2 linked regions of the Lepisosteus oculatus genome follow. The protein of the gene in region 2 purifies or fractionates together with the protein of the main gene of each other region. This does not show direct contact. Links are inferred from orthologs where the notes say so. Each region holds a gene or a part of one and is shown on either strand. Other genes may lie near its edges.

What was found.
Region 1: the proteins of c1qbp (region 2) and prkcz purify together in Homo sapiens (affinity purification with mass spectrometry; 5 studies listed by BioGRID and IntAct, with this or other methods). This does not show direct contact. The link is inferred for Lepisosteus oculatus from reciprocal best matches to the Homo sapiens genes C1QBP and PRKCZ.

Annotation. Positions count from the first base shown.
Region 1 is NC_090720.1:3,964,385-3,972,318, reverse strand, and holds the start of prkcz (protein kinase C zeta type), read right to left. Parts: upstream 3,006-7,934; 5' UTR 1,882-3,005; coding exon 1,811-1,881; intron 1-1,810. Other genes in the region: uncharacterized protein, read right to left, coding at 4,859-5,015, 6,037-6,127, 6,686-6,841, 7,575-7,703. UniProt on the Homo sapiens protein: Calcium- and diacylglycerol-independent serine/threonine-protein kinase that functions in phosphatidylinositol 3-kinase (PI3K) pathway and mitogen-activated protein (MAP) kinase cascade, and is involved in NF-kappa-B activation, mitogenic signaling, cell proliferation, cell polarity, inflammatory response and maintenance of long-term potentiation (LTP).
Region 2 is NC_090721.1:3,224,406-3,232,407, reverse strand, and holds the start of c1qbp (complement component 1 Q subcomponent-binding protein, mitochondrial), read right to left. Parts: upstream 3,008-8,002; 5' UTR 2,827-3,007; coding exon 2,568-2,826; intron 1,962-2,567; coding exon 1,811-1,961; intron 794-1,810; coding exon 706-793; intron 576-705; coding exon 480-575; intron 57-479; coding exon 1-56. Other genes in the region: ATP-dependent RNA helicase DHX33, read right to left, coding at 6,420-6,728, 7,052-7,138, 7,312-7,515, 7,926-8,002.

The DNA.
Region 1 (7,934 bases), on a different chromosome or scaffold from region 2:
TTCACACTAGACACAATATTCCATTATGTGTGGAAAGCTGGTTTAAAGACACTGTCCCCTCCTGTCAATTTCAGTCAAGGAGTGCTTCAGGAACAGTGTAACACAGGTCATTTTTCAGCCAGCTGCTCTGCTGTCATTTTCTGAACTGGCATGCACCTGCAATAGGTTCCAGGCCAAACAGAATCCAACAGGCCAATGCTAGAATCTGGTGACTTATTAACGCTATATCTCAGTAGGTCAATGCTTTAAACAAGCAACAGAACTAACATTTTTTGCACTACTCAGCAAATTACCAAGACTGTAGTCTGGTAAAGTTCTGTCAGAACAATTCCATTGTTCTCCTTCTATAAAAACACTGATTCTAATGAAGGTCACTTTTATATTATTTTTAAAACTTTCTATAAAACTTTTATAGTCAAGTGTTAAGATTTGCCTTTAGAAACCCAAAGGCAGAATTTTCTATGGACCAAAAAAGTTTGTAAACAAACTGTGTTCTTAAATGATGCTCACTATATTCTCTTATCTATATTTACTTAACTCAAGCTCGAGACAAAGTATTCACTTTATCTCAGTCATTGTAGTTCTACATCAAAAAACAACGGAGGAATTCTATAGCCATTTGATGTATTTACATATATGAGCTGTTCTGAACTACACAGACCCAGACAGTCACAGTTTGTTTTGACTCTAGGTAGATTCAATAATAAACCCAAGAACTAAAGGGGATTAATCATAAACACTGACTAGAGAAAGCAGTATTAAAATTAATCTCCATTGAAATTAGAGAAATCGAAAAGTACACAACTGTCCAAGCGCATACAGAAGAACTAAGTATGAAATTTGCAGTTAGTGCAAAAACTATCCCAAAGTTAAATTAGTTGTATAGTGTAGCATCAAACCTATACAATGAAGAGGTTAGTAAACAAAAACATTACGGATTTGATAAGTAGATGGAACGATTATCCAAATTCCATCGTGATATTCTTATATTTTATATGACCCGGATAAGCGTGAGTTTAAGAAACTCAGAAATAACAGTATCTGTGTGACGTTGACAGCTGTATGTAATACTGAGCGCACACAAACTCTTGCAACACCTGATTTCAGAGTTTCGGGATCTGCCTCTTTCGCGTACAGAAAGTAAGTTAAAAATTAACTCCCACAAAGCACAAGTGGGCACCTTGAAAGACACATACCACTACACGGTTAATGTCATCCAAACACTAACAAGACAGAAACGTAAAAAAACCCCCGACTGGGCAACAGATAAATAATGCAAGTAAGAACTTATATATACCCAAGTAAGAACTTAACAGGGCAGTATCTAAAGACCATCCGCAAACATGTTGTAAGACAATGTACCTCAAACTTTCATATAACCTTGCCAACAACGAATGAGAAGAGATTTAAAAGTTATTGATCAACCTGAAGAGGAAGACAGCGTCATTCACAATAGCCAAAGGGGAGTCAGGAAATTGGGGAAACTGTTTACATGCATATCTAATAGTTAAAGATGTTTAGTCTAAGTATGGCGAATTGTCTTGCTTTTCAGCCTTTGAGAAAAGGGTTGAGAGAGCAGTCCAAATCGAAAAGCCAATAATCGCAAAGCACTCAAACCTCATCTGTGGTTACCATCAGTTCATCTAAATAAAATTCCCTCAACAACGGGATTAAAACTACACTGCTCAGTTAACGTGGAAAGTCCCGTTACAGAGGTTTATTTAGAGGAAGCCGATTAACGTGGGCTGTTGACAATTCATTAATTAATTAACAGTTATCAGGTTACAAAACCTAAACTTATTACACTCACCCGCCGTAATGTGCCTTAATTTGCACATATTCCAGGTGCATGCTCATCACGGATCCTTGTTTGGTAGGCATTGTACTCCAAAAATATTAAATATAAAGAGCCAATACTGTAATCCGACAGAAGTGGGGTAGCAAATACAGTACGTGAAACAGGATCTTCTGTTGTTGGTTCCCTCCGTGTTAACGACTACAACCGACAGGGCGAATTCAACAGGTTGCGCTTTTTTTTAAAAAAAAAAAAAGGTTAAAAATCTCATTTATTTTCTCCCCGATTCTGTATCATGCTGCCGTCTTCTAGGAATTCGGTCACCTGTCACCTGCCTTGGTTACTTATTCCGCGACACAGTAGTCAGAGGGACACTGGCAAGTCTGGACTGGCCTTCCTCAATTCCACCTGTTGTGTTGCTCCTGAAACGCAATTACTCGAAACACTAGTACGGTACAGACACTACTGTAACTGCCGGACCCACATAATAATGAGCTGCTGTATTTAAAGGAGGACTCTATAAAATCATAAAATCATTCATTCCCCACAGGATGGAAAATACATTTTCCGCTTGAGTTAGACACAAATGTTCATCGCGTTAACATCCAGCTCAACATTAATAGATTTTACGCAGTTAATAAATGATCTGAGATGACGTACGTTGCAATATTATATTTAGCTTTAATTCAGCAGTTACACTACACTCCTACAATGGCTTGTTAAATGATTGCGCTAAAGAGGACAAAATAGACATATTAGTTCAGCATGTGAAGTGTATAACTGGAAAATTAAATTAGGCTGAACTGGAATTTAGTCGTGCACTTCCAAGTTTCAACTTTTTATTCCAAAAATCCATGTTATTCCAAGACGTCCGTCACCAGAATGTTGTTCTGCCTATCGGGGGGGAAAAATACAGAAATCTGTTGATAACGTATTCATCTGAAGTTAGTAAAACTGTAACATTTACCGTCCCACGACAGCTATCTTACTGAGCAAAGTATAGCCAAATCAAAAACTTCAGGAAACCAGTTAAAAAACAATTCGGTGCTTAAAAATTCTCAGAAATGAGTTTTTAGTCCCGGTAGTTATTGTTTTTCTCGTGCATTGCTTGTATTTATTTCGATTTTTGTATCGTTTTCTTCCCAGCTCGCAGCAATCATAAACAACTCCAGAAGTTTCTGTTTAGACGGCTTCTAGCGTCTCCCGGGAGGATTGAGGGAACATGGCGGAGAATTCCAGAGCCGGAGCCAATCGGAACGATGGAGTCACACCTGCTTTCCAATCCGGGAAGAGCAGGCAACACCTGTAGCCAATCCAAAAACTCGTGGGATTACCCCCGTCCAATTGGAATTCCGTTCGGGATTTACCTGAATTAAAAAGTGAACGGAAAATTCCTTATCCAATCAGACGACTGTTGGATTTACCTGTGTCCAACCAAAAGCCCGCAAAACAGAACATATTGAACAACTCATATCATGCATTTTTCTTTTCCATAGCTGCTAAATATAACAGGACAGAAGAAAGTTCTCTAAGCATTTATTTAAAACCAATTCATATCTTGGTTTGGACATTCGTTGCGCATAATGCATACAAAACGAAGATCTATAGTATCCAAATGTTTTGAATACATGCAATGAATTTAAAAAGGGCAGCGATAAATTGCCCGTGCGAGGACGTTACAGTCAGCAATAAAATGTCGTTTTGTCTTATTTTGACAGGTGGCATTTATACATTGGATGCAAATAAGAATGCATTGTTCAAGTGCGGACTGCGCACAACAAGAGAACGTACTTTAATGAGCTGCTCTAGGAAGGTCGTGCTGTACAAAAGGTTTTATGTAATCTCAGTAAATCTTAATCAGGTCCAGATCTGTAATTATAATGCCTCAAGGTGTTCTAAGTGAGGATTTCTAGGGTGTCTGAAATTTACGAGAAGAGTTCCACATAAAAGCAGAGGTCCTCTTACAATTGCCGTTTGCGCCACCTGCGGTGTGAACTGCATATAACACTTAAACCAACAGTCTGGAATAAAAAGCCGTTCACAGTGCAATTATTTTTTATTTCAAACAATAGAAAAACCCGAGAAATACAAAAAAAACTCCATACATATTATTTTCCTGTCTCAGTTCTTACATACATATTCAGAGAAAGTACAATATGTTTCTTCTAAAGTAATGCAAATTACGAAAATATAAAGGAATCCAGTGTTAGTATAGAATCTAGTATGTGCTTATTTTTAATAATAATAATAATTATTATTATTATTATTTTTTATTTTAACATTTTATTTCACAAAAAATACACAAAAATGCTACATACTTTTCTAAATTTAACATTCACGTGACCTTCAGTTCTTTTTCAATTTTTGCACCTCTTGGATAATCTGGTTTCCCTAAAGTTCCCTCTTAATTAGCGAAGTAATTCCTCTTCTCCGCCTGATCTGTATTGGGGCTGCTGACATGTAGTATTGGGCATCACCTAGGAGGGTGCCCAACTTCAGTGATGGATGTAGTGGACCTACTTCAGTGAATAAATGCCATTAATTATTATTAGTGTGCTCTGACAATGCAACACTGGATACAACCCTCCATCTAAAGAGAAGTACGATGTAAGAAATGTCTTCAAAATTAAACACTTAGTATTAGTGGATTCTATATGTTATAGGTAAATTGGTTACATTTAAAAATGTCCATTCAAGTTTGGCATAGTTTTGAAACATGGGGATTTAATCAAAACAATTTAATTTCCAATTGAAAGTAGGGACCACATTAAATGAGAAGCTGCAAATTGCAAATCGATTAACTAATCTCAGCTTTCTGCTTGACAGAATGTTCTTCTTTCTACCCTCCATGAAGAAAGAACATGGAATATATGAATAGAGTGTGGATTTAATCTAAGCCTAGATAAGAAACCAAGATATACAGCTGAAGGGGTATTCATGCACTATTTATGACTGTGTTCATGGATACAATTCTATTCAAGAATGATGTTGACTGTTGAGGTACATTACTTTATGTCACACAATCTCTTTACAATATATTTAAATAGCTTTGAAAGCACATAATTAAGACTTCTGAGTTTTTAGTTTGTACATCAAAAATACAAGTAAAACCAGAACAACAACTATGAAAACAACAAGTATGGTATGCTGTCTTGATACGGATGCATTACAGTTTACGTCAGTGGTTGAATTTCCTCTAGACAGGACACCACCTGAACACCTTGAAAAGACAAAAGAATACACACACATGATACAAGAATAAACCAGTATGAGAACACATCAACACAAGAAAAAAATAACATTTGGTTTTCGAAGCCCTGCTACTGTATTATTTTATTCTCATCTGCAAACTGTTCATCGTCTATCCCTATTGATTTCCACAGAAGAGCTGTTGAAGAGGCCAAGACAGATACTGATTCTGGTTCTACATGTGCTTTTACTAAACTAGACTTCAGGCATATACTTCATACAGGTACTTGATCTTTACTCCCCCATGAAGAAAGAACTTGGAACATATGAGTGTGAGAAAAGTTCTGGATTTAATCTAAGCATAGATATCGAGCCCTGGTCTAAAACTAAAAGGCCATTCACCTTCATGAGCTATTTCTGACTCTGTTCATGACTGTAGGATGTAGTTCCTTAATGACTCCCGGTAATCAAGATTTGTTAGATAGCCTGGATATCACAGGTTACAATCCATCTTCCTGTTATGACAGGAAGGCGTTCACCACAATCTAGTACCAGAATTCTGGTGGGTAGTGGCAGTGTGACTGGGGAGTATGGAAAACATGTAGTCAGTCCTAGAATCAGCTGCTTCTACTGTATACGGAATATCTTTTCTAAGATGCTGCACTGGACTGGAATGGGTTAAACAGTCCTTTTGCACTTCCTGGTCTGGGGGAAAAACCATATACATGGAGAATATATTATTTCAACCAATTTGTCTCTGGTTGTGAAATACCACGGGTTACAATTTTCACTCAGCTCAGTTTTCCCGGCACCATCCTGGTTTGGAACTGTACCTTCATGCCAAAAAACAGGAACATCATGATCTGTCCCTGTGCAAAAGCTCATGGATTATGTTCTTGGAAATAAAAGCACTCACAATTCAAAAGTGTCAAGATGTCAAGATGAGATATTGAATGTTCATAACATACCGCAGTATCAGTAAAAAAATAATATTAGTGCATTCATTTTGACATTATTTTACAAGACACCAAAAGAAAGATGTAGACACTTACACAGTCCAGGGTGTGCATGATAATGACATTTCTTCTGCTGAAAATGTGCCAGTAGGGCATTCTTCACAAATGGTGTCAGATTTAGCTGTTCCTGAACATATTAATAACACATAAGTTATGATTAACATGTGCATCCATTTCTTGTCTATTTATTCTTATTCAGGGTTGCATGCAGGGGAGCTGGAGTCTATTCTGGCAACCAATGGGCACACGCCAGGAGACACTCTAGACGGGACGCCTGTCTATCACAGGGCAGACAGACACAAATACAGGCACACACACGCACACACTCTTGCATGCACACCAAGGCCAGTTTTCCCAGACTCCCTTTAACTTATTATGTCTTTGGACTGTGGCAGGAAACCAGAGCTCCCAGCAGAAACCCACAAACACAGGGCGGACAGACACGGCACCCCTGGTCTGGAACTGAACACAGGGCCCAGCCATGTGAGGCAGCCATGCTAGCCACTCTGTCACCAAGCCATCTTATGATTAGCTTAAACAGTACATGATATAAATCAATAACCGATTCTTAGTTGACACTTGGCTTGTGTTCTGAAAGATCATCCGTGTATCAAACCAAATTAAAACAGACTGGTTACAAAAAACACATAAATAGAAGCAGAAAGGAACCAGGTTTCTGACTTACCATTCTGCTTAACCCACTGTCCTGGCTGACAGACGGAGTGTTTAGGACACAGGTGGCATTCTTCACTGCTGCCGTCCACACAGTAGAAGTCTTTCAAGCAGTGGCAGACAGTGTTTTTCACTTTGGTGCAGGGGGACTTCACAAAAAGACCCAGCTCTGAGCACAAGATAAGTGTTTCAACACTCTAGCATCGTGTCAATAATTCTGAATTACACTTGGATCATCCGGGGGGGGTAACTGAGAAGATCCCTCTATTTCTAATCCTAGCTACAATTATAAGGCTGCTGAGGATATGAGCACAGAACTGAACATTTTTTACTTAAGCTGAAAACTCAGGACAATAACTAGGACAAATAAATGTTCTATTGTTAATCTATCACAACCCAAAAATACAGCATAAGCACATTTACTCTAGACTGTACGCACGTGTGATTGTAAACACATGGCTTTTAAAGTTAGCTGACCTATTCAGACAACTGTATGATGAAAACTACATCATGTGGCAATGAAACTAGATGAACATATGTCCACTACAGTGTGATCCCTCCTTGTGTCCATGCAATTTTTGGAGTCATTATTCTTCATGAAACTAAGTTGATGTCTCCTTGCACTGACACTCTCAGGATGGTATACTATTTACTCTGTAAAAGCACATTTTGCTACAGTTACATTTTGTTAGGTCTGGTGTAGTCAGAACTAAAAAGCAGACTTGAATTAGTAACCACACGGATTACACACAGTTTTATCAACAATCACTGAAACTTTACATGGCACCAAACTAGAGTAAGGTATTTTCTTTATATTTCTCTGCTTTGCTGCAAAGGTTATGTTTTGAGAGCACATTCCACCTCCCCATGAAATACACCCCATGAAGATAGTTTTTGCTCACCTGAGTCACAGACTTTACAGTCTAAGCACTTTGTCAAGCCATTGGGGTGATCTATGTATGTGCTGTTGGAACAGCTGGTGCACTCTGTATCACTGTTTTGTGGAGAGCAGTGCTGGGAAACACGACTGCCTGAAAAATGGAACAAAATTAAGGAACAAATCCCAACAATGTTTTAAGCCCTGTCTGGTTAAGAGGCAATCTGGACGACTGTTTGTTTTCCCAGTGCTGAAATGCAAATTAAGCCGGTTTTGTTTGTTTTGAAACTCCTGCTGTTCTGTTTTCTGGGGTTAACCAATTCACTTCAACATTTCAAAAATTGAGATTTCAAATCAGAACCATGGAAGAGAAGCCATTATTACC
Region 2 (8,002 bases):
CTGACCTCTCGGACGGCAAAGATATCACTCTCCTCTTCTCCCTCGCCGTGGCCCACCTGGACAGCAAACCCGGCCCGTTAATACCGCAATTAATCGCTCCTTTGTTATACTTTATAGTCCCAGATGGGAAATTTGCTTTCCAAGTGGGTAACACAATACATTTAACAGAACACTAACCCATTAAGAGACATCCATGTATGATAAAAAGGGAAAAAAACAAAACAATATATATATATAGGTATTAAAATAAACAGTTAATTGACCAAATAACTGTGGGAATAAAAGATAACATAGTTCTATTGCACTTGATTCTATGATTATTTCAGGTGAGTCCATATGCGACACATGAAATAATCACCTGTGCAAACCATCAACAATGACTGTTCACTTTCTGAGCCATGTCAGCAACTCCTGTTGAGCCCAGTGTGAAGATCAGTGCCCATTCATGAATGACCAGGGCAGAGTACCGAGAGACCCACCTCATCTTCGGGATAATGGCAGTCAAACACCAAGGACTGGTTTGAAGCCTGTTTCGCCACCTCCACGACAAAGTTGGGTGTTGACACAATTTCAGGCTAGAAGAAACACAAGGGGAACAATCACATAAAGACCCTGGTTATATCCCAGTGCCCTTTATGAGAGAAGTCTACCACTCACGCCACCAAGACCTGGACTCTACACAGGCAGAACCAAGTGCACGCTCACCTCGTTTTCGGAGGGCTTCTGGCCCTGCTCTGGCTCCTCATCGAAGGTGGGTGGGATGCTGTTGTTGATGTTGAATGTGACCGACACCCTGCAGCGTTGAGAAAAGACAGAAGGAAATAATCAGCATCCTGGCAAGAGGTCAAAGCATTAATCTCAGCTTGAGGCAACTTAAGTCCTTGATAATATTTTGGCATTTATCTTCATCTTTGATGATCCCCATTCCCTGGGTTTTTCCCCATCCACCTGTTTCCCAGCTGCTGCTTCCTTAGGTGAGCAGGTGCCTATCCCAGCAAGCAACAGGTGCAAGGAGGGGAGCTCCCTGGATGGGACACAAGCCTATAACAGGGCACACACATTTTTCTCAGAGGACAATCAACCCACCAGTGTGTATGAGGAAACTCAAACACAAATGCGGGGAGAACACACGAACTTCACGCAGTATCACCCCAGGACTGGAATTGAACCCAGGGCCCCATTGACAGCAATGCTGCCCCCCCCCCAGCTTCTTTTAATGTCAAATCAATAGGCTGCTGCTTCTAGACTTCTTCCCATTTAATGATATTCAGGGTTTCCTGTGCTAAACTGCATAAAACCAATAACAGCATTTGATGCTGACTGTTAAGAAAGGTTTTTGGTGTTTTAGCCATAAGCCATGTTACTTCACCCACCCAGTAATTACAACTCATGACTGCCCAACGTGCATGACTTACAACACACAACTCTGAGGAGGAATTCTGACATTCAGATTCATCCACTGATGAATAGATTCTTCACTTAAATAGTCAACCAGCTGACTTCAGCCAGATCCTGAAAGGACAGACTGGTTTAACACCTAACTAAAGAGGTGGATTGTGTCGGTCGGAAGGATTAGACGGTGTATTGGATGACTCATCTGATATACAAGGGAAGGTCACATCAAGACACCCTAAAGGTGGAGAAATTGAAATCAAATGTCAATCTTAATCTTAATTGAAATGCAGTATGGCATGCGAAGAGTGGGGTTTAAATTATTCAATCATCATCCTTTTCGGGGAACAAATTGCCTTCCCGGGGCTGACTTTGTGTGCCATGAGGTTCTGAAGAAAGGGTTCAACATTTCTCTTACACTTCTCCAGCGATCTTCCTAGTTAGCTTGGCTTCGGTGCCTGTGAGTTCCAGCTCCCAGCCCCCAGACATCTTGGGCAGCGCTGTGTGCTTCTTAATCTTTTTCTCTTCTTTAATCTCATCTGACAGGAATTCTGCAAATGCCTTGTCTCCTGGCAAAGAAATGTGTTTCCGATTATGCATTGTTAGTTTTTTTTACACAGATACAGAGAAGGTACATCACTTAAGTTTTTTTTTATTTTCAATGTAAAACTATAAAGCATACAGTAGGAAACTACCGATCTTGCCATGAAGGTGTTTAGATGTATACACAATACTCATAATTACAGATGGACAGTGCATTGAATGTAATGCTTCACGCCTATAATCGAAATATTGCACAGAAGTCTGGAGTGCTCTTCACAGCGTGTATCACTCTACAGAAATAACATCAAGGGCATGTGTGTCGAAGCATCATTACAATTCAACGTCCCGGATTTATAAAACAAAAGGTTTTTCAAGTCCTTCTTCGACACTTCACTGATCATGTGGGGATACTGTAGCCCCGAATGTCAAACCGGAATTACCGTTTGCAAAACTCATTTTAATCTTCTTGAAGGCCGTTTTTGTCCATAACGTGATTGTAACAAAACCGGTTGAACGCTGTTTGTAAGAAACACATCTGGGTTAACGCACACGAGCAGCATCAATCGTCCCGGATATACCATCAGAGCCCCAGAATCCCACAATAATTCGCAGGATTATTTCTTTATGCTTACCTTCCGTGTGAAGTCCTCCGCAGCCGCACGACACCGATGGGATACCCCGACTACTGCTCAGCAACCCCGGCCTGTGTTCCGATGAGGAGCCGCTACTGCACAGCATCCAGATAGAGCGGGTGAAGGGCCGAGCTGTTGCCGAGCTGGGAGCGCCGACAGCCGGCCGGAGCAGAGGCTCCAGCACCCGGGTGGAAGAGGCGGCTGTGCTGGTGGAAATACGAGTGGCGACGCCGAGGGCCCGGGTAAGAGACTTCAACATGGTTTCAGACGACTAAGCTAGTATTGAAGAAGTTTGACTGAAATCGGAGGTCACCCCCAAAAAAGCGTGCGACGGAATACCCTTCTCCCACTGATCAGACTCAAACCGCTAAGAAACTACTGGAAACCACGTGTCGGCAGAAAGGACGCTCTGACCTCCTCCTTCGCAGTGACCTTTTACCTTTGAACTGGAAAAAGATGTCCGTGCGCTATTAAAATATGGTCGTAGAAACGCATTAAGTAGAATAACAGTTCCGTGCTCATCTTTCTACCTCTGGAGTGGCTGGAAACTATTTATCATTACTTTTCCAGAGAAATATCCTAAGAGCTTTTCACCCGGTGTTATGTGATTTTTTTTCCCTCAACACTTTTATTTTTATCTTACAATTTTTATAATTTTAAAATCTAACTACATTTAAAATTGTGCTATAAATAGTGCCCTTTTCTAATACAAATACATGTGTATTGTGGCAAAATGTATTCTAGACGAACCGTATTCTTCAACTGTGCAACACAGCCCGTGTCCTTGTTTGACCGGTAGTTTGGATTGTTTTTATCCCATGTTCCCTTTTTCCTGGAATGCTAGTTTGAAGTCTTAAAAATAATGGTAAAATTTGAACACTTACAAAATTTAAAGCAAACCGATTGACTTTCGATTCATACTTTGTGTATGAATAGTGTAACCGCTTAAGACGTTTATACTTTTGTGCGTAACCCTAGACTGTGTGGGTGCAGGTCTTCAGTTTTGCTCCCTGAAGTAGTAAGGGTGTGGTATAAAGGTGGTACTGTGCCTTATTTAAACTAGGGCAAGAATGAGCAATTCTGGTCTTCCAAGAGCGGTGTGTCTGCAGGTTTTCATGCTAACTCTACTCCTAATGACCTACAGTACATAATCAATCCTCAGATTCTGGTGACTTAGAACATCTTGCAGACACACTGGTCCCCCTGAGACAGCGCTTTCCGCCCATGAAGTTGGTCTGCACCCCACTTCCCACATTATTATTACATAAAAATTATTACATCATTACATCTGCTCGTCTTTAAGGATTTAGAGACTAAATGTGTGGGATGTGTGAGCTGTTAAGGAAGAACTTAAGAAGTTCATATACAGTACACATGCAACACATATAGAAAACAAATTCTACACCACATTGTGTAGAAATAGTCTTTATTATAAATATTTTATTTTACAAAGCCTTGTGTCACTCATACAATTCTGTGCCCATCAAAAGAACCTACTCAAAACACCCTTTGCACCAATATCTGCTCTGAGGCTTCTTAGCCAAATCCTCCCATTTACACAGAAAACCTTCTGAACTTGTGTATTTTCTTCAAGAGGACATTCACCGTATTTCCTTCTGTAAATAAAATAATGAAATACAACAGTAACAACTGATCATCTGTCCTTTTCCCCAGCCTTGCTGTGGAGCATCTATTATTCTCACAGCTCTCATGACGCACAAACCTAATACTCACATTTTATATTCTCGTCCTGAAAGTAGTTCATGTCATACTTGCTCTTGACTAAGCCCCTCTTAATCAGCATAAACAGCATAGTTGCAACACTGCTGTTGTTATGACGTTGTGTGACAAATCCTTAACCCTGAGCAAAAACGTGGACCCACACCCTGACAACCCTTTTGTTCTAAGGTACTGAAGAGCCCACTTTAAAACAACCTACAATAGCTCAAGCCTCGAGAATAACCTTTCTCTTTAATTATGGAAACAGAATATCACCTTAGAAAAAGTGGACTGAATTTGTCTGGAGCTTAATTACCTTGCTTAAAACTCAATTCCCTGTGTTGTTGTCTAATATAGGTTCATTTAACTACATTTAACAACTTATTATTTTCACTTCTAAAACATGCACTGCAAACCTACTGCTACTTTACATGGGTAAATCAGCAATTGCTCAACAGTGCTGGACAGATACAGAGGGAAGTGAACACTAATAAACTCACCTATTTAAGAACCAGAGTGATTTTCTACTGGACCAGTGAACATTAGTGTAACAGATCTTTACACCCGAAATGTGTGAAATGCTACAGTGGTGTAAAGCCACTGAAAAGCAATATGGCATGCGATTAAACTATGAGTGACTTCTATTAAAAGTATTACCTGCTTTCCCAGAAGTTAAATATTGAAATAACAAGCAATTTAAGAAAAATAATGGTCCACCAGTTTAATCTACAATTAATGTGCAATTGTTCCCTCAGCTAAATATGTCAAGTCTAGGGTGGAGGTCAAAGTGAAGGTTTATCATTCTTTCTGTGGGTAATTGTTAATGCCATATGACGTTAGCTTTAACATGGGTTATTTGAAAATCTGGCCATTGTTCACAAAGTTTCAGAGATCCAATTCTCAGGTTAAAGGGAGCACGTGAGACTAAATATTAAAATTGGCAAGATCACAGTGAAACTATGTGAAGAAATCCGTGTTGGTTAAGAAGAATCATAACACGATTTACAGAAAAAAATAAATCTATGCCTCCGTCCCCAAAAAACCTAGGTTATCCTGTGACTTGACTCCTCCCTGGGTTTTTTGCACTGTATCACTATAAAGAAAGGAGGAAACTGGTCATGTTCCAACCAGTATTTGTAATACCAGCAGCAGAAGGCTTGCTAGTCAAACCATGTAAGCATTTTAAGGCCAAATGATAGAATAAGTAAAGAGACTTCCATTAACAATGAGTTTTTCAGGAGATTTCCAACTTGTTGAAGATGCAGAACAGGTAGTGGAGGAATGAGATGATTCACAATAATATCTGCCATTGAAAGGTACAATAAATGCACATCTCTTTATTGCTCCACAGCTCAGCAGTCTGGCTGTGAAGCTAATCATATTCCTATTTTTATAGCAGTTGGGTGTTTCTTGAAACTGCCAGCAGTCAAATACAAAAGCAAGGTTGTGCCAGACACATGAGAACTGTGGAAAACCTACCACTGTGGGGCTCAGTTCTTTATAATTGACTGATCTATCACAGCAACAGCCCATCTCTTCCAGAAAAGAATACAAAAGGTCTCATTGCATGGCTGAATTCATTGTCCAGGCTGGTTCTTAAGTTAATATTCGGTTATCTGCTGATGATTTAGCCCTGAGAAAGAGAAAGGAAGAGTAAAAAAACAAGGGAAAGCTGAGAGGTGACAGAACAGAGTCAGTGGAGGTCAGACGTTGTCCGAGCAGGCTGAAACTGTGAGTCATTTCTAGAGTTGTCTTTGGAGACAACCCCACAGGTCCCAAACTCTCACCACAAACACCAGACTATCTTTGTCACATCCGTGATACAGTGAGTTTTCTCTCTAAGGCCAAATGTGTTGCATTCCACCAACTGATCTTGGAACAAAGATGCTGTGTAAGCAGGCATCTCATCCAGGGTGTACCCTGCCTTGAGCCTGTTGCTTGCTGGGATAGGCTCCAGTTCCAACACTAAACTGAACTGGAAGAATTGGTTAGAAAATGGATGGATGGATGGATGCTTTGTAATCCAACAGTGTATGCTACTCTGTTACCATAGACTGTTTTTGGGTGAATGTGGGGTGAAAACAAGATGCTGCCTTGAGATCTAGTGCACAAGTTGCCTCTTGGTCGGGGGGGTTAGCTCTTGATCGCCCGGAGTTTGCGGCGGAAGTACTCGGGCGCAGCTTCGTGGAGCCAGTCCGGGTCCACCAGGCAGAGGTCCCGCATGTAGCACTTGGAAGTGTGCAGGAGCTCGTTGAAGACCACACAGGCCGGCTTGGCCTGGAAGAGCACGGAGGAGGGGTGGATGGCCACAGGCTGGTGAGTGTCCAAGGTCATGTACGTCCCGTCAGGCTGCAGCTCGGCTGCGTTCGTGAACAGCCCGTGCGCCAGACAGCGGCGGACATTTCCCATATCGGAGCGAGAGGACTCGGGGGAAATTCCCAGCTGCGTGCAGGGGGATAAAAATCCGGGAAGTTAATCAGACATTATGATGACAGGGGTGAGGCCAAGCGCATCTTTTTAACTCAAACAGCAAAACCAAAACAGATTTCAAATAAAATGAATGTTTTTTTACCAAAATAATAACCCCTAAATAACACCTCCTAAATAAAGTCTCTGACACCAAACTGCTCTGCTCTATTTTAATACTTTGCATTATGAGGTGCCCAACTCTCTAGTCATCTCCTGGGCAACACCTTTCTTTTAATACATTTCATAACAGCCAGAGCCCTTTTGATTGGTGACCACACATCCACAAAGTCTCATACCTTCACACAGATCTCTCTCAGCTGACTGCGAACGTCTGTCACCAGAGACATATTCCTGCTGTTCACAAAGTTCTCTCGACACCAATCCTGCAAAACGCGAAGGGGAAAAAAATGTAAAAAGTAGAATGGAAAGACAGCTTGGCGATACATAATACTGCAGATCAGCTCCTGCCAACCCTTTCAATATTGGTTTTGCCAGTTTGCCCAAGAAAGGTGTATCTAAATCCTGTGGGTATTGGAACGTTTGAGGACGCCCCCACCTTATTTCCGCCCACGTTCTTGAAGCCCCTGTAGACGTTGAGCAGTGTCATGTGGTCTCCCTCACTGGAAATGAACTTCCTACGCCTGGAGTAGACCTCCTCCCTCCGGGCAGGGGGGTTATAGAGGACACTGTCCACTGACAGGAGGGACACGATCGTCAGCACCTCCTCCGTACAGGAGAAGTCCGCTGACAGCAGGATTGTCTGGAGAAAAACAGAAAAGGGTAAGAAAAAAACACCAGGCCCAATTGAAAGTCTAGTCTAGGAGTCAATATGTATAACACTGTAAACATTCTCATGTCCTGAGATTCATTTGGGAACTTCAATTAGCTTTTTGTTTTTGTTGTAGTATAAAATGGATTGTTGAGAGATAAAACTTGGCTTTTTTCCAAAGCCAATTCAGGCCAAGGGAGAAAAAACAAACAGTTACATTCATATGAAATTTGCACTCCAGATTTGTAGCAACGAAGTTGTCCTTCACAGCACTCCTGAATTCCTCTTTTGGCATTTTTTGCTGCTGCGGGTTCCCCTGATCCATTGCATACAGCATGTGTTTAAGAGCTAACGGTGTTATGGAGTATGATCACTGAATAAACACTTGACCGTTTGTTCACCTTGGCAAACCTGGGCTCTAGAGGGAAACTGGCCATCTTCTTCCCTAGAGGAGTCAGGGTGACCTGATCGTCTTTGC